Linked DNA regions of Saccharomyces cerevisiae S288C. The gene in region 3 interacts genetically with the main gene of each other region. Each region holds a gene or a part of one and is shown on either strand. Other genes may lie near its edges.

What was found. A genetic interaction does not mean that the proteins touch.
Region 1: mutations in KIN82 (region 3) and COX7 together harm fitness more than expected from each alone (negative genetic interaction), as found in Saccharomyces cerevisiae (3 studies listed by BioGRID).
Region 2: mutations in KIN82 (region 3) and LYS21 together harm fitness more than expected from each alone (negative genetic interaction), as found in Saccharomyces cerevisiae (3 studies listed by BioGRID).

Annotation. Positions count from the first base shown.
Region 1 is NC_001145.3:776,353-783,061, reverse strand, and holds COX7 (cytochrome c oxidase subunit VII), read left to right. Parts: upstream 1-3,934; coding exon 3,935-4,117; downstream 4,118-6,709. Other genes in the region: ROY1 (Roy1p), read left to right, coding at 1-442; PET111 (Pet111p), read left to right, coding at 1,031-3,433; GFD1 (Gfd1p), read right to left, coding at 4,495-5,061; YMR254C (uncharacterized protein), read left to right, coding at 5,139-5,447; YMR253C (uncharacterized protein), read left to right, coding at 5,872-6,709. UniProt on the Saccharomyces cerevisiae protein: Component of the cytochrome c oxidase, the last enzyme in the mitochondrial electron transport chain which drives oxidative phosphorylation.
Region 2 is NC_001136.10:223,371-231,307, forward strand, and holds LYS21 (homocitrate synthase LYS21), read left to right. Parts: upstream 1-4,022; coding exon 4,023-5,345; downstream 5,346-7,937. Other genes in the region: SRF1 (phospholipase D regulator), read left to right, coding at 1-370; cullin CDC53, read left to right, coding at 934-3,381; STF1 (ATPase-binding protein), read left to right, coding at 5,801-6,061; ribosomal protein P1 RPP1B, read left to right, coding at 6,536-6,649, 6,951-7,157; YDL129W (uncharacterized protein), read left to right, coding at 7,654-7,937. UniProt on the Saccharomyces cerevisiae protein: Catalyzes the aldol-type condensation of 2-oxoglutarate with acetyl-CoA to yield homocitrate. Carries out the first step of the alpha-aminoadipate (AAA) lysine biosynthesis pathway.
Region 3 is NC_001135.5:268,325-277,066, forward strand, and holds KIN82 (putative serine/threonine protein kinase KIN82), read left to right. Parts: upstream 1-6,079; coding exon 6,080-8,242; downstream 8,243-8,742. Other genes in the region: FIG2 (Fig2p), read left to right, coding at 1-3,939; YCR090C (uncharacterized protein), read right to left, coding at 3,991-4,539; mismatch repair protein MSH3, read right to left, coding at 8,440-8,742. UniProt on the Saccharomyces cerevisiae protein: Flippase activator that phosphorylates DFN1 and DFN2 and which is involved in the generation of phospholipid asymmetry in membranes by the inward translocation of phospholipids.

The DNA of each region.
Region 1 (6,709 bases), on a different chromosome or scaffold from region 3:
TTTGTGGAACGGCTGCAAATGTGCGTTCTGCTCCAAATACTTACCATTATTTGATAAGTACATCATGAATCATCAATACTTTTCGACCCCGGATGCAAGATACTTGGATATTATACCGATAGTGTTTGCAGCATATACTGGAAAATCTCTAGCTAAGAGGTTTGATCCTCAGAAGAACTGGGATTTGGATTTACTACAGTATGCCCCTGAGGATACGACGTGGAATTTCCATGGCTTTGAGAGAATTCATCACTTTGCAAGTTATGAATGTTATTTTGACGAATCCTCATTTGAGCCCTTAGCCACTATTATATCGCATTTTTTTTATCCTTACATGAACTACTTGATAAAGATATTGCCAAACCTTCGCCAAACTATGTTGTCAGGAATATACTTTAGCGTGAGCCCAGAATTACACACTTATGAAACTATTTATGATTAAACTTGATAGTTGTGATAAACATTTCTTATGTACATTTGTTGAAGGAGTTCGTATATATACAGCCAGTTGAGTAATAATTATATTTTACTATTGCATTTCATAATTATTACCCGGACCTTACGAGTTCTTCGAATAATAACCATATATTTCAGAAAGGTAGGCATACCGAAGGAAGAGACAATGAAAAAACTGAAATGAACAAGCTTCTGTATACGATCCAAGGATCAGAAACGGTTGTTATTTATTGTTTGGACTTCTTGTTGTTAGGCTTTATTTACCGTGCATAATACTATCTGATACTTTGAGAAACCCCTCCCCCCACAGAAAGGTTCAAAATTTACAATTGCTGCACTAGGTCTACACTTTCCTCTAGATTTGTAACTTGAAGACCCCATTCCAATCGTTTAACCTGTCTTTCCTTTTATTATCGTTTTATTCTCTTCCTTTTTTATAAAATTCTATCTGGTATAGAGCATTTTTATGTTGATCATAACTTTTCATGTATTCTATTAATTACACCACAACTTTGATATCGTCAAATTTTTTATCACTACCTATTAAATTTAAACAATTGCTTACGAGAACTTAATGTTACAACGGAGATTTATATCCTCCAGTGGTATAAAGAGATTACTTCACAGAGAATCAAACAAGGTTATGCACACTGTTTTCTTTAAAGTACGATATTACTCAACTGAGTTGATCAAAAAAAAGCATAAGGAAGATATTGAGGATTGGGTTAAAGCGCAACTAAAAGATTCTTCAACAATAAGCGGTGTGTATGAGTCTCGGAATAAACTCGATTGGATGGACTCCATTACCAAAAGCCCCAGCAGCTTAGATATTCTTAAGAATCAATATAATATAGTGAAAGACAAAGATTTTGGAATATTGTGGAAGCAAAAATTCGAAAGTGCAGATCCAGATATTTTGATGACAATAATTAGCCTTTCCACTAACCAAAAGGTTTTGTTTTCAATACAGCAATTACTGATCTTAATAAATTCTCTTCACTTTTTGAAAAGGGACTACGATATTGGACAAATATACACAACATATGAGCAATTCACGCCCTTATTAGCAAGCCACACTGATAAAGGCACATATGGTCAGTTCATCGAAATTATGTTGGTAGTACAGCATAATTTACATCATTTTGATGTCTGTGAAACTTTATTTGCAGAATATATCAAATATTGCAAAGTAAAGCCACAAATGATATCTTTAGGATTAAACTCTTTCATAAGGAGTAATAACACTCAACTAGCGGTGGAATTTTACACGCAAGCAATTACCAATCCTGATACATTTCCAATAACTGAAAAGCAGCTTTTTGAGTTTCTCCGATGTATGGAAAGATATCTAGATATGTCCAGTATGAAACACATCTTTTATCTCTGGTTGAAAGTGAAATGTGGTGATGAGCAATCCTCTTCAACTAACCTTCCCTCGTTCAAAACCCTCGCGATAATACACAGAATGTTATTACGTTTTTCTAATACAGATGAGCTAAACGATTTTTTAACCAATCCCGTTGTTTTAAGTACGGGATATACATCAAGTGTGCAGTTTGAGTTGATTGAATTTTGTCATTCTCTGTATTGCATCAAAGGAGACAGAACAAAAAGCATTGATGACTCAATATTGATGGAAAGAGTTGATAAATTTATTACCAGACTTAATAATAATATTTCAACACGAAAAGAGCTATATATGTCAGTGGTTCAAGCGTACGTCTCTACTAACAATTTCGAGAATTTAAAAGTAATCTTGGAAAAAATCCAGAGAGATAATGATATTAGCATAGACGGTTCGTTTCATTTGTGCATTTCTAGGTATTTTGTCAACACCAATCAATTCGAAGGACTTTTCAAATATTATCGCAGTGTAGTTAAAACCACTGATGGTAAAACGCGATTACGGCCCGCATTTATTCAACAATTATGGTCATGTGCCGTAAATGTTTATCCAATGCTGGCAAAAGAAATTACAAATGACCTACTTGTGACTCTAAAAAGGAGCCAATACAGCAAATGTCTCACTTGGGTGTACACATTTTTACAAGAAAATGCCCATATCCATACGAGAAAGATCAATGGAGGAGAAGACTCTTCGTTATCTGGTTTCAACGCGGTTGATTTTGAAAGGTTTGAAGAGTTCAAGAAAAAAGTTTCTCACAATGATGTATATGGAGCAGAATTGGTGATTTCGAATAGTTTGAAGGAGGGCATTGCGCCTCAATTTTCATTTTTGTATTCCGTTTTGGCATTATGCTTGAGAAACTCTTTAACTGGTTTGGCACGTGTAGTTGATGTGATATTAAGGACCAGATTCCGCTATATCCCACTAAAAGTCGATATATTATGGTTGAAATGGGAGATCATTTCTAATTATAGATCTTTTGAAAAGTTGTCTGCTGAACATTTAAAAGAACTGGAATTCAAACTGAAGGAATTTGAACGAGTACATCAAAAGGAGCTTTCAGTTCAAAACTATTTACAACTTACTCAAATATGTTTCCACACCCGTGATTTCAAATATGCATGTTACCTAATTTCACAAGCTAGAAAAAATTTGGATACTTCAAATAACAAACAGTGGATGATGTATTACATGACATCTTTAAAGTTGGCGTCAAGAATGCATGAAAGCGAACGGTTTAGTAGGATTTTAAAAGACTGGAATTGTAATCATAGGGCAAGCCTGATTACTCCAGGTTGCATTAGACAAATCAAAGGCTTTATGAAATATTTTGAGAAAAGGCCTGCTTACATTTCAACTGCTGCTTCCATTGATAACAAGGAGATAAAGGATCGCATTGACGAGTTAGTACTTAGATATGTGGACTATAAATACCAGGGGCTTGAGAATATGAGAAAGTTAACACTTTTCTTAAAAGAATGGTTTGATGAAGAGATTTCACTATTAAAGTTGGAGCAAAATGAAAGGAAAATGAAGCTTTTTGAAGAGAATAAAAAGGAGGAGGAGTAATCTTTTCAGTTATTTACCTTCCTTTCTCTCACGTGTAAATATTTGTGTGTCATACACACCGCTAAAAACCTTTGCATCAACTTATACCCTACATTTCTATAGACGCTATTTGGAAACAAGATGTAACCCTTTTTTTCTTTTAGTTTTGAGATTTGTACTCGTAAAGAGTACGTTTATTTATTTATTCAAATTTTATTCTTCATACCATGTAAATATAAGCGCATATAATCACTACGATCTTAGTACAGCTAGAATTGCTGACGCTTACAATTGCTTTATTGTTTGATTATATGCACGTATACATATAGTGTCAGCAAAAAAAAAAAAAGGCAGTACTTGATTGGCTACGCCGCGCATCGTCCGAGAAATCCGGCCTGGTAGGGGCAGGTTTGAAAAGGCGGATAGAAATAAAAGATGATATTATTTATTCATCCCATGAATAGTAGAACTCGATATAAGATTCTAAACCAACAAGTACAGAAAGCAAAACAATAATAAATAATGGCTAATAAAGTTATTCAACTACAGAAAATCTTCCAATCTTCCACTAAACCTCTATGGTGGAGACATCCAAGGTCAGCTTTATACCTGTATCCATTTTATGCTATTTTTGCGGTAGCCGTCGTTACACCACTTCTATACATTCCAAATGCTATTAGAGGTATCAAAGCCAAGAAGGCATAGTTAGGTAAAAATAACATCCGTTCATAGCATCTTTATAATTGTTCTTTGATATTAAGTGTGTATGCTCAATACACATCACCCAAAACATTTTTATTCGAAATAAGATGAAAGCCATTTATTTATATATACATATATAATATTCTAAAGAATAAGGAAACAACTAATCGAACTAGCATAGCCTTTTCCATCTTTGTTTTCTTGCGCAGTAATAAATCGTTTCAGTTAGGCCTGGCAATAAAGATTTGCTAATCATTGAAAAAGGTGTGATTGATTTTCTCACTTGAAGTATGTCTAGTATTTATTAAACAATTATAATGGTGTAAACTAATGTCTCTTCAAGCAAAACGTGCTTAAAAGTGTCCATGTGATGGGAGGGATCATATTTTCAAAGAGGTCTTCAAACGTTGAAGGATAAGCTCCTCTTCATCATCGTCAACCCAGTTGGAGCTCCCTTCATCGTTCAGAAAATCCATCAACACTTGTTGCTGTTGATTCTTGTGATGAGTCTTTTGCAATATTTCCCTCTGCTCTTCAATTTTCTTTTTTAATAACTTCATCTTAGAAGCGGTATCCTGTTTGGATTGTGTTTTGGTAGTTTTCATCTTGCTAGGTGAAACTGGTGGAGGAGATATCTCTGTTGCTTTTTGGGAGAAAGGATTTATCGCCAATGATTCACTTACAGGCGATATTTTGCCCTGACTATGAGGCGGCTTCTTTTCTCTGGGAAGAGTTTCCTTTATTTTATTTTTCGTTTTACTTTCGTGGTTACCTTTGTTATTCTTCACTTTGTTTACAGAATCTTTTTTCTTATTGTTTGAACTTGATTCATTACTCCACCTGCTATTATTATTCTTTTTATTGTTATTACTCCGCTTGTGACTTGGTTTCTGCTTCTTTATTGGTTCTTCGTCAGGGGCATCGGCCCATATAGATTCTAAAGGCATGATAAATAGTAAAAATGATATTGAAGGTATTCTCCTATCAAAAATAGCTTCTCACCCCGCTGTTAGAGACTAGCTCAATGGTGCCACTGATATTGCTTATCTTACTTTTTTCTAAATTTTCAACATTTCTGCGCCCTGTAAATCACGTGCTCGTTACAAAATACACTGCCATAGTAAATACAAAATGGCAAACAACGCCCAGCATCATTGATGTTACATATACTATGCACGTTTTTTATATGACGATAATACTTATTTTGGTCAGGAAGCAAATGCAGTCCATACATGCGTTTCTGGGTAGTTTATGCTTACCCTCCCACGTGCTAGATTTTTCGATTGTAAGAGATATTTTATCATGGTATTTCCTTGAGACAGTCGCAGTATGACACGATATGTACAAAAGCATAAGTGACGGGATGATTACAGAAAGCTTGTTCTATTACTTCATTAACTCGCGCAAGCCAGCAAGTCTGCCGACACATCGATATATTGACATATATTTACTTGACGTAGAGACCCCAGATACCGTCATGAGGCATTTTCCTAACTAGGAAATGCACCTTAATTTGGTAAAAAGATACCGGCTAACGGTAAGGGATAGGGCTCCTAAGGGCCCTTCCAAAGATCGCAGAATGGTGCGAATGGTAGTTGGATATTTTGGACAAAGATGTGGAATTGGAAAGCGAGATGTTCTTTGATCTACTTTAGAATTTTTCTTATTTCAGTAAAATTCCTTTTTTTTCCTTCTTAAGTTTTCGTAGGCATGAATTTGTTGTTGCTGTGGTGAAGAAAATAGATAGAGATAAGAAAATGAATCCATCAGTACCGAAGGTTATGAAAAGAGAAAACAATACACACCTACTAGTTTCTAAAGAAATGAATGATACGAGTTTGCAACTACCGTCTACTACGAGATCACTTTCACCGAAAGAGTCAAACAGCAATGAAGACTTTAACGTCGATGGCAACGAAACAACGCTGCAAAGAATAAGTAAAGATTATTTGAAACCAAATATTGGGCTTGTTCTCTTGACAGTATCATATTTCTTCAACTCGGCCATGGTGGTGTCTACTAAAGTCTTAGAAAACGACCCCGATGATATTGCCAATGATAGACAGATCAAGCCATTGCAAATCTTATTAGTTAGAATGGTAATAACATATATTGGTACATTGATATACATGTATATTAATAAGAGCACAATTTCGGATGTACCATTTGGTAAACCTGAAGTACGCAAATGGTTAGTATTGAGAGGTTGCACTGGATTTTTCGGTGTCTTTGGAATGTATTATTCGTTAATGTACTTGACGATTAGTGATGCCGTTTTGATCACTTTTTTGGCACCATCACTAACAATATTCCTGTCGTGGGTTATCCTGAGGGAAAGATTCACCAAAGTGGAAGCGCTCGGTTCGCTGATCTCATTGCTGGGCGTGGTGTTAATTGTAAGGCCTTCATTTTTATTTGGAACTCCCGAATTGACCGACTCTTCCTCTCAAATAGTAGAATCATCGGACCCAAAATCGAGATTGATTGCCACTTTGGTTGGGTTGTGGGGTGTTTTAGGGATGAGTTGCGTCTACATCATTATTCGTTATATTGGTAAGAGGGCTCACGCTATAATGAGTGTGAGTTATTTTTCTT
Region 2 (7,937 bases), on a different chromosome or scaffold from region 3:
CTGCGTCAACGCCGTGGCGATTGCGTATATTATTTACATTGCACACGATGAATTTGCTGGTAAACCTGTTGGTTTGAGGAATCCGTTAAGCAAACTGAAACTAATTTTGTTGGACTTACTTTTTATAATTTTTTCAAGCGCTAATCTAGCGCTGGCATTTAATACTCGTTTCGACAAAGAGTGGGTTTGCACTTCTATTCGCAGGTCAAATGGAAGCACGTATGGATACCCAAAAATACCGCGTATCTGCAGAAAACAGGAAGCTTTATCCGCTTTTCTGTTCGTTGCCTTGTTTATGTGGGTAATCACTTTCTCGATCAGTATTGTTAGAGTAGTCGAAAAAGTCAGTTCAATTACCAACAGAAACTGAGCTCGACAAATATAGAAATTAAAAGAATTCTTTTAGATACCAAGATTGACATTTATATGCATTGTATATTTTTGACTTAAAAAATTACTCCGGCTTGGCATTTATTCATTAACGGCGGGTTTGATTATATTAGGCTTTGTGCGATATAATATGTATTACCCGAAGGGAGGGCTATTGCACTTTCTTTTCCTTTCCGTTTTAAGGGCCCTTTTTCATTTCGATGTTTGATGGACACACATGAAGTGAAATGTGGCAAATAGAACATCTAGAAAAACTAGGGCATTAGGTAAAGTACCCCAGCAGAACTTCACTTTACAACGCAATTGATTCATATCACTGCTCTTTTATATTGTCCTTTTTCTCTTTTAGAGCTTTTCATCCGCATCTTCTAACTTCTGTGCACCCCTTTCATTGTTGATTACATTTTACCTCAGTTACACATTTCTTTTAGCAATTCGACATTGCTTCTACTTACCGATAAATAAGCGTACATTTTTGAGTCTTGAAAGGATTCTTACATATACCTAAACAAAGAATAACAACAAAATCGCAAGCAGCAAAGCATGTCTGAGACTCTGCCTAGATCTGATGATTTAGAGGCCACTTGGAACTTTATAGAGCCAGGAATTAACCAAATACTGGGTAATGAGAAAAACCAAGCATCCACGTCTAAGCGAGTTTACAAAATTCTTTCTCCAACCATGTATATGGAAGTCTATACCGCAATTTATAACTACTGTGTGAACAAATCACGCTCGTCTGGACATTTTAGTACTGACAGTAGAACTGGCCAATCAACAATTTTGGTTGGCAGTGAGATTTACGAAAAGTTAAAGAATTATTTGAAGAATTACATTTTAAATTTTAAGCAGTCTAATTCAGAGACCTTTTTGCAGTTTTACGTCAAGCGCTGGAAAAGGTTTACAATAGGTGCCATTTTTTTAAACCATGCATTCGATTATATGAATAGATATTGGGTTCAAAAGGAAAGAAGTGACGGCAAAAGGCATATTTTTGATGTAAACACCTTGTGCTTGATGACATGGAAAGAAGTCATGTTTGATCCGAGTAAAGATGTTTTAATAAACGAATTATTAGACCAGGTAACCTTGGGAAGGGAGGGGCAAATAATTCAAAGAAGTAATATTAGCACTGCCATAAAGTCTTTAGTTGCACTAGGTATCGATCCACAGGATTTGAAAAAGTTGAACCTAAATGTCTACATCCAAGTTTTCGAAAAGCCATTTTTAAAGAAGACTCAGGAGTACTACACGCAATATACAAACGATTATTTAGAGAAACACTCGGTAACTGAGTATATTTTTGAAGCACATGAAATCATCAAACGTGAGGAAAAAGCAATGACAATATATTGGGATGATCATACAAAAAAACCACTATCCATGGCATTAAACAAGGTCTTGATCACAGACCATATTGAAAAGTTGGAAAATGAGTTTGTTGTCCTTCTGGATGCCAGAGATATTGAAAAAATTACTTCTTTGTACGCACTAATACGCAGAGACTTTACATTAATCCCAAGAATGGCTTCAGTGTTTGAAAATTATGTTAAAAAGACAGGTGAGAATGAAATTTCGAGTCTACTGGCAATGCATAAACACAATATTATGAAAAACGAAAACGCAAACCCTAAAAAACTAGCACTAATGACAGCTCACTCCCTTTCTCCTAAAGACTATATCAAGAAATTACTGGAAGTACACGATATATTCTCTAAGATTTTTAATGAAAGTTTCCCCGACGACATACCTTTAGCTAAAGCTCTAGATAATGCGTGTGGTGCTTTCATCAACATCAACGAGTTCGCATTACCTGCTGGATCTCCAAAAAGTGCCACCTCGAAGACTTCCGAGATGCTAGCTAAGTACAGTGATATACTATTAAAGAAGGCCACCAAACCTGAAGTGGCAAGTGACATGTCAGATGAAGATATTATAACAATATTCAAATATTTGACCGACAAAGATGCGTTCGAAACTCATTATAGAAGACTTTTCGCCAAGCGTTTAATTCATGGCACTTCAACATCAGCAGAAGACGAAGAAAATATTATTCAAAGGCTGCAAGCGGCAAATAGTATGGAATATACAGGCAAGATAACTAAAATGTTTCAAGATATTAGACTTTCCAAGATCTTGGAAGACGATTTTGCTGTCGCCCTGAAGAATGAACCAGATTACTCTAAAGCAAAATATCCAGATCTACAACCATTTGTATTGGCAGAAAATATGTGGCCATTTTCATACCAAGAAGTTGAATTTAAGCTACCCAAGGAATTGGTACCATCTCACGAAAAATTGAAGGAGTCATACAGCCAAAAGCATAATGGTAGAATATTGAAGTGGCTATGGCCATTATGTCGTGGCGAATTGAAGGCAGATATTGGAAAACCCGGCAGGATGCCGTTCAACTTTACGGTAACACTGTTTCAAATGGCAATTTTGCTACTATATAACGATGCTGATGTATTAACCTTAGAAAATATTCAAGAGGGCACGAGCTTAACCATTCAGCACATCGCAGCGGCAATGGTACCATTCATCAAATTCAAACTGATTCAACAGGTCCCACCAGGGCTAGATGCTCTCGTGAAACCTGAAACACAATTCAAGCTATCACGTCCTTATAAGGCGCTTAAGACCAATATTAATTTCGCTAGCGGAGTCAAAAACGACATTCTGCAATCGCTATCCGGTGGAGGCCACGATAATCACGGTAATAAGTTAGGAAACAAACGCTTGACGGAAGACGAAAGAATAGAAAAAGAATTGAATACAGAAAGGCAGATTTTCTTGGAAGCTTGTATTGTGAGAATAATGAAAGCGAAAAGAAATCTGCCACATACAACATTGGTCAACGAATGCATTGCGCAATCACACCAAAGGTTCAATGCAAAGGTTTCTATGGTCAAGAGAGCCATCGATAGCTTAATACAAAAGGGATACCTACAGAGGGGAGACGATGGTGAATCGTATGCTTACCTTGCTTAATCATCTTTGAAGGCTTGTGCTGATCGAACGAAGCAAATCCTACGAGTAAATACATAAGCGTATACATATATATATATATATATATATATATATATATATGTATATATATATATGTGTGTGTGTGTAATTGTGTGTATTCAACTGAACTATGAAGAGTCTTTGACCTCTTGAGAATCTCATAGTATGAAGATATGGCACTTCTCTTTCCGTTGTAACATCCTTTACCGGGCGGCTTTTCGGCCTGCTTGAGAAGAGATCAGGCTGAAATGATGAGACTGACAACAAGGATCAGTCAGTGGCAGAGTTGAAATTCCGCTGGAAATCGTCACCAGCAGCTACCAGCTCCAAGAAATCCGCGTAGAAATCACGTCGCGCAATGTGCGATAGTGGTGGAACAGCGAAAATTAGTCACTTTGCAAAGATGCCAAGCTGATCGTTCTCGTTGTGTGTGATTCTACGATATTGCGCATGAGTGGTGTTGAGCATGCGTTTGTTCGCATTTTCATGCAGTCTCTTATATACTAATATATATATGCAACAGATTTCAAAATTTATCTTTCTTCTTGTTGCGTTTAGGCCTTTATTTGCTACACATTTAAAAGTGCAACGACAACCCAAGTAATTGTATACTTTAACAAACCATGTCTGAAAATAACGAATTCCAGAGTGTCACCGAATCGACGACTGCTCCAACCACTAGTAACCCATATGGCCCAAATCCTGCGGATTATCTATCCAATGTTAAGAATTTCCAGTTGATTGATTCAACACTAAGAGAGGGTGAACAATTTGCCAACGCATTCTTCGATACTGAAAAAAAGATTGAAATTGCTAGAGCCTTGGATGATTTCGGTGTGGACTACATCGAGTTAACCTCTCCCGTAGCATCCGAACAATCAAGAAAGGACTGTGAAGCTATATGTAAACTAGGTTTAAAGGCCAAGATCCTTACACACATTCGTTGTCACATGGACGATGCCAGAGTCGCCGTAGAGACTGGTGTCGACGGTGTCGATGTTGTTATCGGCACCTCCAAATTTTTAAGACAATATTCCCACGGTAAGGATATGAACTACATCGCCAAGAGTGCTGTTGAAGTCATTGAATTTGTCAAATCCAAAGGTATTGAAATCAGATTTTCCTCTGAAGATTCCTTCAGAAGTGATCTCGTTGATCTTTTGAACATTTATAAAACCGTTGACAAGATCGGTGTAAATAGAGTCGGTATTGCCGACACAGTTGGATGTGCCAACCCAAGACAAGTATATGAACTGATCAGAACTTTGAAGAGTGTTGTCTCATGTGACATCGAATGCCATTTCCACAATGATACCGGTTGTGCCATTGCAAACGCCTACACTGCTTTGGAAGGTGGTGCCAGATTGATTGACGTCAGTGTACTGGGTATTGGTGAAAGAAACGGTATCACTCCTCTAGGTGGGCTCATGGCAAGAATGATTGTTGCCGCACCAGACTATGTCAGATCTAAATACAAGCTGCACAAGATCAGAGACATCGAAAACCTGGTCGCTGATGCTGTGGAAGTTAACATTCCATTCAACAACCCTATCACCGGGTTCTGTGCATTCACACATAAAGCAGGTATCCATGCCAAGGCCATTTTGGCTAACCCATCTACCTACGAAATCTTGGACCCTCACGATTTCGGTATGAAGAGATATATCCACTTCGCCAACAGACTAACTGGTTGGAATGCAATCAAATCAAGAGTCGACCAATTGAACTTGAATTTGACGGATGATCAAATCAAGGAAGTTACTGCTAAGATTAAGAAGCTGGGTGATGTCAGACCGCTAAATATTGATGATGTAGACTCCATTATCAAGGACTTCCATGCAGAATTGAGCACCCCACTTTTAAAACCAGTAAATAAGGGTACAGATGACGACAATATCGATATTTCCAATGGGCATGTTTCTAAAAAGGCAAAGGTCACCAAATAGTTTCATTATATATATAGTACACATATTTCAAACATACACATACTGGGCGTTATTAGGTGTTTAAGTACTGGCGATTACCGTAATAAAATTACTATTTACGTCAACTTTATTCAATAAGCTTTTTCTCCTACTCCGATGTTCAATTGAGGCGGTTGCATCTAGCTTGAAGACGGGGTATTTTAATCAATTAATTGAGATCAATGAATATTGACTCTGTGCGATTCCCCACGCTATTATACTCTCACGGAGTATTTCCGTTATGATAATGATCACTATATACGTCAAATGATCGGTTTCTATTTGCTAACTATTTCAAGCATCATTATTATCTTTTAGGGGGCGGCTGGGGAATTATTTATTATATTTAGTTCAGTCGTTCATAAGAAAATTGAGCTCTCCATTGTAGATATTAAGAAGCACTTTCACCCAGTCATCCAACCAAACACGCTATCAATATGTTAAACCGTTGCATTTCCCGTAATACCAGGCTGCCAGTAAACCTAAGAATTGCCTCTCGCTTTTATTCAGATGGTCCTCTCGGTGGTGCCGGACCTGGTAATCCTCAAGATATCTTTATCAAGAGAGAACGTGCCAAAGAGGATTATTATGCCAGACAACAAGAGAGGGAACAATTAGCACATGTGAAGGAACAACTAAAAGAACACAAGAAAAAATTAGAGAATTTAGAAAACAAAATTAATAACCTTTCAAAGTGATTGGTCATTGTTAAGGCTAAAGGTTCTGCAGACACGTTTTGTACGTAGAAAGAAGCAATCATGCCAAATCAAAATTAGGAAATGAACATCAGTGGTATTTTATAAGCCTGCACATTATATATAGTATATACGTCACGAATACAGGAACACCGTCAGTTAGAGAAACGTCGCCTCAGTTTGCTCCTCAGATATTCCTTTAAACCCATACATATCTTACACAAAACATCCGTACATCAGAAGGATTATATGAAACGCAAAAAAAAATAAAATTTTCATTTCTGCGTGTCGCGCGAAGGAGAAATCTTAGAATTGAAACTTCCGGCTAACGGTTGCTAAAACTAGTTTCCAATGTAATACCAAATAAGCATTTGATGTTGAATCTGTAAGCCCCTTCGTGATATTTCAAGGTTAAATTACGAATTGCAGTTTCAGTTAATCTTGGACTAACAAAGAAATCAAACAACTAAGAAGAAAATGTCTGACTCTATTATTTCCTTTGCTGCTTTCATCCTAGCTGATGCTGGTTTGGAAATCACCTCTGACAACTTATTGACTATCACCAAGGCCGCTGGTGCTAATGTCGACAACGTATGTACAAAAATGCAACCTAAAACGACTTTGTGTGACTACGAAGAGAAAGATTAGACAACAATCGTCCCGAGAAATGCGCAATTTTGAATAATGGGGGACAGAAAAATTCCATGTAACGTTTCCCTCTAACATGATGAGATACTAGGGGGCAATACATGTAGAAATATTTCTCCATTAACGTATTTAACGGAAAGCACAAGTCAGGATCGAATTACTTCTTCAAGGATCTCATTTTACTAACAAACTCAACGAATAACGACTCTTCCTATGGAGCTTGTTATATGTATCATTGAATTAGGTCTGGGCTGATGTTTACGCTAAGGCTTTGGAAGGTAAGGACTTGAAGGAAATCCTATCTGGTTTCCATAACGCTGGCCCTGTTGCTGGTGCTGGTGCTGCTTCTGGCGCTGCCGCTGCTGGTGGTGACGCTGCTGCTGAAGAAGAAAAAGAAGAAGAAGCTGCTGAAGAATCTGACGACGACATGGGTTTCGGTTTATTCGACTAAACATACAAGGAAAGTCATTTTTTCTGCAACGTTTTTTTACCCTTTATGTATATATATTTACATATAAAATAAACCTCTAATCAATCAGTATTTAAAAATCGGAAGTAATGTCCATACGAAAGGGCTACGAGAATTTAACCATCTCGTTCTTTGCTAGAAATGGCACTGCGGGATAGCCCCTGGTTGCGGGATATCAGACCTGTCGTCACCATAGCAACCAAAAATTACATAAACCCATGGTTGCTCGCCCTTTGATGGCGACGCCGACCGAAGCTTCTCCCGCGCACATTTTTAAAATTTTTACTCATCGGGAATGAAAGGTTCTTTGACACATGTAAAGCTCCCTAAGTTGGACATACGTCGGTCCTTACAGGCTTAGCAATACACCTATAAGGCACTAGAAACGTATAAAATTTGAGCACTTTAGTTTCTCATCCCTTTTGATACGAAACGCGGGCAAGGCTACGGCATACAGGAATTTAACATTTTGTTGGCTATGGAGCTAAGAAGTAGACGGAGCGCAGAGGCCTATCTTGTCACGCCTGAGGAACCTGCCAAGAATAAGAGTGAACGGAGCATAGAATCCAATGAGAGGGTCGGCACGAGGGAAGCAAAGAGCGAGAACACAAGTGTATTTAGTCCCGCTTACTCTGATACCGCTACTACAGATTCATCGAAGAAAGTTGATGACAATGAATACTACAATTTTACTAGTCACTTCATGCCATCTTTGAAAAACACCAGAGAACTAGAAAACACAATTCTCAATCTCATACAGAG
Region 3 (8,742 bases):
AACTTTACGAGCCCCCCCTCTAAAACAAGTGGTAACTACGATGTTTTGACTTCAAACTCAATAGATCCTTCTCTATTTACAACTACGAGTGAATATTCATCTACACAATTGTCGAGTTTAAATCGGGCCTCAAAAAGTGAAACAGTTAATTTCACTGCTTCTATTGCTTCCACACCATTTGGTACAGATTCGGCTACTTCTCTAATAGACCCCATTAGTTCAGTGGGTTCTACAGCATCTAGCTTTGTGGGAATTTCAACCGCCAATTTTAGTACACAAGGGAACTCGAACTATGTTCCTGAATCAACTGCAAGTGGAAGTTCACAATACCAGGACTGGTCAAGCTCTTCTCTTCCGCTGTCACAAACCACTTGGGTTGTCATCAACACAACTAATACACAAGGGTCTGTAACGTCAACCACATCCCCGGCTTATGTTTCTACGGCCACCAAAACGGTTGACGGGGTGATCACCGAATATGTTACATGGTGTCCTCTAACACAAACCAAATCACAAGCAATTGGGGTCAGTTCGTCCATTTCTAGCGTTCCACAAGCCTCCTCATTTAGCGGTAGTTCTATTTTGAGCTCCAATTCCAGCACTCTTGCTGCCTCGAACAACGTTCCTGAATCAACTGCAAGCGGAAGTTCACAATACCAGGACTGGTCAAGCTCTTCTCTTCCGCTGTCACAAACCACTTGGGTTGTCATCAACACAACTAATACACAAGGGTCTGTAACGTCAACCACATCCCCGGCTTATGTTTCTACGGCCACCAAAACGGTTGACGGGGTGATCACCGAATATGTTACATGGTGTCCTCTAACACAAACCAAATCACAAGCAATTGGGATCAGTTCATCCACGATTAGCGCCACACAAACCTCTAAACCATCTTCAATATTAACATTGGGGATATCGACCTTACAATTGTCTGATGCCACATTTAAGGGGACTGAAACTATAAACACCCATCTCATGACCGAAAGTACTTCAATCACAGAGCCCACCTATTTTAGTGGCACATCGGATAGTTTTTATTTGTGCACCAGTGAAGTTAATCTTGCGTCTTCCTTATCTTCTTATCCAAATTTTTCATCTTCAGAAGGCTCTACGGCGACCATTACTAACTCTACCGTTACATTTGGATCGACCAGCAAGTATCCATCTACTAGTGTATCTAACCCAACAGAAGCCAGCCAACATGTGAGCTCTAGTGTGAACTCACTCACTGATTTTACTTCAAATTCAACCGAAACCATCGCAGTTATATCTAATATTCACAAAACTTCGTCAAATAAAGACTATTCATTGACGACTACGCAATTAAAGACCAGCGGAATGCAAACGCTTGTGCTTTCTACTGTCACAACAACGGTGAACGGTGCTGCTACGGAATACACAACGTGGTGCCCGGCATCAAGTATTGCTTATACGACATCCATATCATATAAAACATTAGTTTTGACCACTGAAGTCTGCTCTCATTCTGAGTGTACTCCAACGGTTATTACCAGTGTTACTGCAACAAGCTCTACAATCCCCCTTTTATCAACCTCTAGCTCTACGGTATTATCTTCTACAGTATCCGAAGGTGCAAAAAATCCCGCTGCTTCTGAAGTAACTATTAATACCCAAGTTTCTGCTACTTCCGAAGCTACTAGTACTAGCACTCAAGTGTCTGCTACTTCTGCGACGGCCACTGCTAGCGAGAGTTCAACCACATCCCAGGTTTCTACTGCTTCCGAAACTATTAGCACTCTCGGTACTCAAAACTTTACCACTACTGGAAGCTTACTTTTCCCGGCTTTGTCTACTGAAATGATAAATACTACTGTGGTTTCCCGAAAAACCCTAATTATTAGTACAGAGGTATGTTCCCATTCCAAATGTGTCCCAACAGTCATTACCGAGGTTGTTACTTCGAAAGGCACGCCTTCTAATGGACATTCTTCTCAAACTCTACAAACGGAGGCAGTAGAGGTGACATTGTCATCCCATCAAACCGTAACTATGAGTACCGAAGTATGTTCTAATTCGATTTGCACACCGACTGTTATTACATCTGTGCAAATGAGAAGTACTCCTTTTCCATACTTAACTTCTTCAACGTCAAGTTCCTCTTTAGCCTCCACCAAAAAAAGTTCCTTAGAAGCCTCCTCAGAAATGTCCACCTTTTCTGTCAGTACGCAAAGTTTGCCTTTGGCATTCACAAGTTCAGAAAAACGCTCCACCACATCTGTCTCTCAATGGTCAAATACCGTTTTAACTAATACAATAATGTCCTCTTCTTCTAATGTCATATCAACAAATGAAAAGCCCAGTAGTACTACCTCTCCATACAACTTCTCTTCGGGGTACTCTTTACCTTCTTCTTCTACACCTTCCCAATATTCACTATCTACAGCTACTACAACAATCAACGGAATCAAAACTGTGTACACAACTTGGTGTCCATTGGCAGAAAAATCTACTGTAGCTGCTTCTTCTCAATCTTCCCGCAGTGTTGACAGGTTTGTTTCGTCGTCAAAACCATCCTCATCTTTATCTCAGACCTCTATTCAATATACATTATCTACTGCTACCACCACCATAAGTGGTTTGAAGACTGTATACACGACTTGGTGTCCATTAACAAGTAAATCGACTTTAGGTGCTACTACTCAAACTTCCTCGACAGCCAAAGTTAGAATTACTTCCGCTTCATCTGCAACATCTACTTCTATTTCTTTGAGCACTTCAACAGAATCAGAATCTTCATCTGGATATTTGTCGAAAGGAGTATGCTCAGGTACTGAATGTACGCAAGATGTGCCAACACAATCATCCTCACCTGCTTCAACGTTAGCATATTCCCCCTCTGTTTCTACATCATCATCATCATCATTCTCAACAACAACTGCATCAACACTAACGTCAACACACACCTCTGTCCCGTTATTACCATCATCTAGCTCTATATCAGCATCTTCGCCATCATCAACTTCGTTGTTATCCACTTCTTTACCATCTCCCGCTTTTACGTCATCAACACTTCCAACAGCAACAGCAGTATCTTCCTCCACTTTCATAGCGTCTTCTCTACCATTGTCCTCTAAATCATCATTGTCGTTATCGCCAGTCTCGTCGTCTATTTTGATGTCTCAGTTTTCATCATCATCATCATCATCATCATCATTGGCATCGTTGCCATCTCTTTCTATATCACCAACTGTTGACACTGTTTCTGTTCTACAACCAACTACTTCCATCGCAACACTAACTTGCACAGACTCACAATGCCAACAGGAGGTATCCACTATCTGTAATGGATCCAACTGTGACGATGTGACTTCAACTGCCACTACTCCTCCATCTACGGTTACTGATACTATGACATGTACTGGATCTGAGTGCCAGAAAACCACATCTAGCAGCTGTGATGGTTACTCGTGTAAAGTATCCGAAACGTATAAATCAAGCGCTACAATATCTGCATGTAGTGGAGAAGGATGCCAAGCTTCCGCTACAAGTGAGCTAAATTCTCAATACGTCACGATGACGTCTGTCATTACCCCAAGTGCCATAACAACAACATCAGTGGAAGTGCATTCAACTGAATCCACTATATCAATTACTACAGTGAAGCCAGTTACATATACATCCAGTGATACTAATGGAGAACTGATAACCATAACAAGTTCCAGCCAAACTGTAATTCCATCAGTAACGACGATAATAACGAGAACAAAAGTGGCCATAACTTCAGCACCAAAGCCAACAACTACGACCTATGTCGAGCAACGACTTTCCTCCAGTGGGATTGCTACTTCTTTTGTTGCTGCTGCATCCTCAACTTGGATTACTACACCCATTGTCAGTACGTATGCTGGTTCGGCGTCAAAATTTCTCTGTAGTAAGTTCTTTATGATAATGGTAATGGTGATCAACTTCATTTAATTTCCCGTATATATTATATGTACGTATATATGCTATAAACAGACACTCTTTTTACTTACCTTTAATAATGCTTGATGAGAAATCAGTCATTGTTACTTCTTCCCCAAGGTTGTCATCATAATCATACCATTCATTATCCTCTAGTTGGCATGACATTACTTTCCCCGAACTTAGAGAAACTTCAAACGTTATGGTGTCGGGATAAAATTTGATTAATTCACAACCTCTGCAATCAAGGCTTAAAGGAATGAAAGAATCTTCTTTGACCTTCGATAAACCATGCTTCTTCCGCACATCTTTTATCTTGGCCCATTTGTCGTCACTCTGATCAGTTAAATATTCATCCTCAAAAGCGCACAGGTTAACTGACAATTCTTTTGAACAAAATTTACACTTCATCAAGAAAGATGCGGTACCTTTTGATGCCGGCATAGCATATTCTTCAAATGTATTGATGATGACTTTAGAATCGTGTAATTCTCTACAACTGGTACATTGTAGATCGAAGGCAAATTCTGCCCTTGATTCGTTTGTATTCTCAATTGAAACCTTGGTCACGTTTTCTGATAATGTTGCTTTCAGAACCAAAAATAACGGCATTATCGTACACAACCTGGTTTTCTTTATTGGTTAAGTTGTCTTTATTCAAAATTTTTCATTACTTCTTATAAACAGCTTCTTGACGCTTGTAATTTCATAAGTTTTTGATACAAGCAATGGAAACAAAATTAAGAAAATGTAGGCAACGAAGAACTAAATTTGAAAAAAAAAAAAAAAAAAATTTACTGCCAAGATCATCTAAATTATCTTATAGTAGCAAAGCTTGAGCATAAAAGGATCAATCTTTTAGTTTTTTATGGCAAAGTACATTTGCAGTAAGTAATTAGTGATGAGATAAACAAAGAATAATAATCCAATTCGAAATCAAAAATTCAAACAACAAAAAACATAATTTCACATATATATCTAATTCATTCACGAAAAACACGTCAGTTCCTTCTGTCTGTTGTAAATAGGATGCATCCGCAGTGAATCATGGAAATATTTCAAAACTTTCAGCCCAATCATTTTATTTGGTCAATGAAGCCATAAACGCTCCGTAATTCTAAGATTAAAAAAAATTCATAAAAATAAGGACCAATATAAATATATATATTTAATGTGCTAGTGACAATCCTAGTGATAAAATTGCAAATTATACTACAATTGGTCATGGTGAAGCCTAAACACACCATTACGTCTTCACAGTGTTATTCATTTTATTTTCAAAGGTATGCTACTACTAATGCACCAGTGTATACCATGATACGGTGAAAAGGGCATGTAATATTGCGTTAATTTGTCGATAACCTTTCTTTACGTTTAAATTTTTTTTTTATAACTGGCGACACTAAACTTCTCGATAAAATACAACATAAAAAGCAGTACCTAGCTAAGCGAACAACAGATAATAAATAGCTAAACATCTAGGTTAATAGCCAATTAGCAATACATTTAAGGATTGATAGTGTGGTATTTACAAGGTAATAGCCCGCTAGGCTATAAGGAAACTACTCTAAATTCACCTTCCATATATGTGACTGCCAAGAAAATATTACTAGTTATCAAGCTTTTTTTGTGTGCATTCAACTTCAACGAATCCTTCGTCATCAATGAAACAAAAGAACAAGCCAGAACTGAAAAAAAAAAATCAAAACCACTAAGAATGTCACATCCTTCCAAAACTCCTGCTGGCTCTTCAACTCTTCAAAGAATATCAAGATAAATATCATTATCTCCAGTGTGGCCGACCCATGCATGAGTGCGAGGAGCATTAAGTTGGATCCTGGGAAAACATGTCAAGGACATTCAATAAAGTACTTTTCATACTACAACAGACGCTAGAAGAACTAGAATGTAACCGTGAACTGCCTCTCAAACACATAATTATGATAGCGCCGTCTTCGGCATCCTTTTTCGGAAATATACTTTCCTTTTTCCCTCTTTCAGCTATATTGTTCAAGGAGTAACATAAGACATAATAACCCCAGTTTTTTTAGAGAAAGTTCTTCTTCTTTAATTATAGTATGTTTGAAACGTACAAGAATTCATTGAGTGCCCTAAGGATTACTGCAAACAAGGTTCAACAGTGTTGGTACACATGACTCAGCAAGAATACCGTTCCCCCTCACAACGCTTATCCAAGGGGAGGAGCATGTCGCTACCCAAAATATTTGCTCGTAATTTGAGATCTCTGCAAAACAATGCACCTCCTGGCAAAAACATCAATGTCAATTGTTTGAACGTCAATTCTTGTTCGTTGTCCGCAAGCCCAAGCTCACAAATTAATATGGCTTGTAATGGAAACAAGCAAGATCTTCCCATACCGTTTCCCCTGCATGTAGAATGCAACGATAGCTGGTCAAGCTCCAAACTTAACAAGTTCAAATCAATGTTTAATCATAACAGATCAAAGAGCAGTGGTACTACAGATGCGTCAACTTCAGAAAAAGGTACGCATAAGCGTGAACCCCGGTCGACGATACATACAGAGCTGTTACAAAGTTCCATTATCGGTGAGCCAAATGTCCATAGTACTACAAGTAGCACACTTATACCCAATGAGGCGATATGCTCCACACCTAATGAGATCTCAGGTAGCTCTTCTCCGGACGCGGAGTTATTTACCTTTGACATGCCCACAGACCCGTCATCCTTCCACACTCCTAGCTCCCCAAGTTATATAGCAAAGGACAGTAGAAACCTGAGTAATGGATCTTTGAATGATATTAACGAAAATGAAGAGCTCCAAAATTTCCATAGAAAAATCAGCGAAAATGGCAGTGCCTCCCCCCTGGCTAACTTGTCATTATCCAATTCACCAATTGATTCCCCAAGGAAAAATAGCGAAACCAGAAAGGATCAAATACCTATGAACATAACACCACGTTTAAGGAGGGCCGCTTCCGAACCGTTCAATACGGCAAAGGATGGGTTAATGCGGGAAGATTACATTGCCTTGAAACAACCTCCAAGCTTGGGAGATATTGTAGAACCGAGGAGATCTCGTCGTTTAAGAACCAAGTCATTCGGTAACAAGTTCCAAGACATTACTGTCGAACCTCAATCCTTCGAAAAAATTAGACTACTTGGCCAAGGTGACGTAGGTAAAGTGTATTTAGTGAGGGAACGCGATACCAACCAGATATTCGCCCTGAAAGTTTTGAATAAACATGAGATGATCAAGAGGAAGAAAATTAAACGAGTACTCACTGAACAGGAAATTCTCGCGACAAGTGATCATCCATTTATTGTGACACTGTATCATTCCTTTCAAACCAAAGACTATTTGTATCTCTGTATGGAATACTGCATGGGAGGGGAATTCTTTAGAGCCTTACAAACAAGAAAAAGTAAATGCATTGCAGAAGAAGATGCGAAGTTTTACGCCAGTGAAGTAGTAGCAGCTTTGGAATATTTACACCTACTGGGCTTCATATACAGAGATTTGAAACCCGAAAACATATTACTGCATCAATCTGGTCATGTCATGCTTTCTGACTTTGATTTATCCATCCAAGCAACGGGATCAAAAAAACCCACCATGAAAGACTCTACGTATTTAGATACAAAAATTTGTTCAGATGGATTCAGAACTAATTCCTTTGTTGGTACTGAAGAGTATTTAGCTCCAGAAGTAATCAGAGGGAATGGCCACACTGCAGCAGTAGACTGGTGGACTTTAGGAATATTGATTTACGAGATGCTATTTGGCTGTACTCCATTTAAAGGAGATAATTCAAATGAAACATTCTCTAACATTTTAACCAAGGACGTCAAATTTCCACATGATAAGGAAGTTTCGAAGAATTGTAAAGACCTGATAAAGAAACTACTAAACAAAAACGAGGCAAAAAGGCTTGGTTCCAAATCAGGAGCTGCAGACATAAAGAGACATCCCTTCTTCAAAAAAGTTCAGTGGTCGTTCTTAAGAAACCAAGACCCCCCTCTAATACCTGCATTAAATGATAACGGCTGCGAACTTCCTTTTATATTGTCTTGCAATAAACACCCGAAAAGGAACTCAGTGAGTGAACAGGAAACCAAAATGTTCTGTGAGAAAGTTGCAAACGATGATGAAATTGATGAGGCTGATCCATTCCATGATTTTAATTCTATGAGTTTAACGAAGAAAGATCACAATATCTTAACCTACTCTGAAAATTATACCTACGGAAAAATTCTATACAAAGCAACTTGTACAAGGCCAAGGCATAACAGCTCACATAGAAGTTTCTTTAAAGACATCATACCTGAACTATAACATGTTTACAGAAAGATAAACCCATGGCCAAATTTCTGTATTGTTTCTCTCAATTTATCTTATGATAAAAATGTAAAAAATTATTTAAAAGTAAACAAATAAACAAAGGAACAATTCAAAAACGAGAAAGTGAATGAAAAATATAATATCATTTATTGTCTGATAATGCTGCATTTAGAACATACGTACCATCCGCATCAGTGGATATCCAATGATAGTAATTTCGCGAGTTTATCCGTTGCTGTTATATTATCACTTTTTAATATTCTTTTCAAAGAGCTGAATAATTTCAACGCGTCTTCGTTAATGGATTCCTTCCGCAATTCTTCTGAAATACTGAATGCCCGATTTATAATATCTTTGTCCAGGCGTGCCAATTTCGCCACATTCATCCCATAACTATTATAAGTCAATCCCTTTTTTAACTTATATAGAAAAATTACACTCATCCAGTCCTCGCCAGTTTTTTGTTCTTCCACGTAATCCATATGATAATTCCT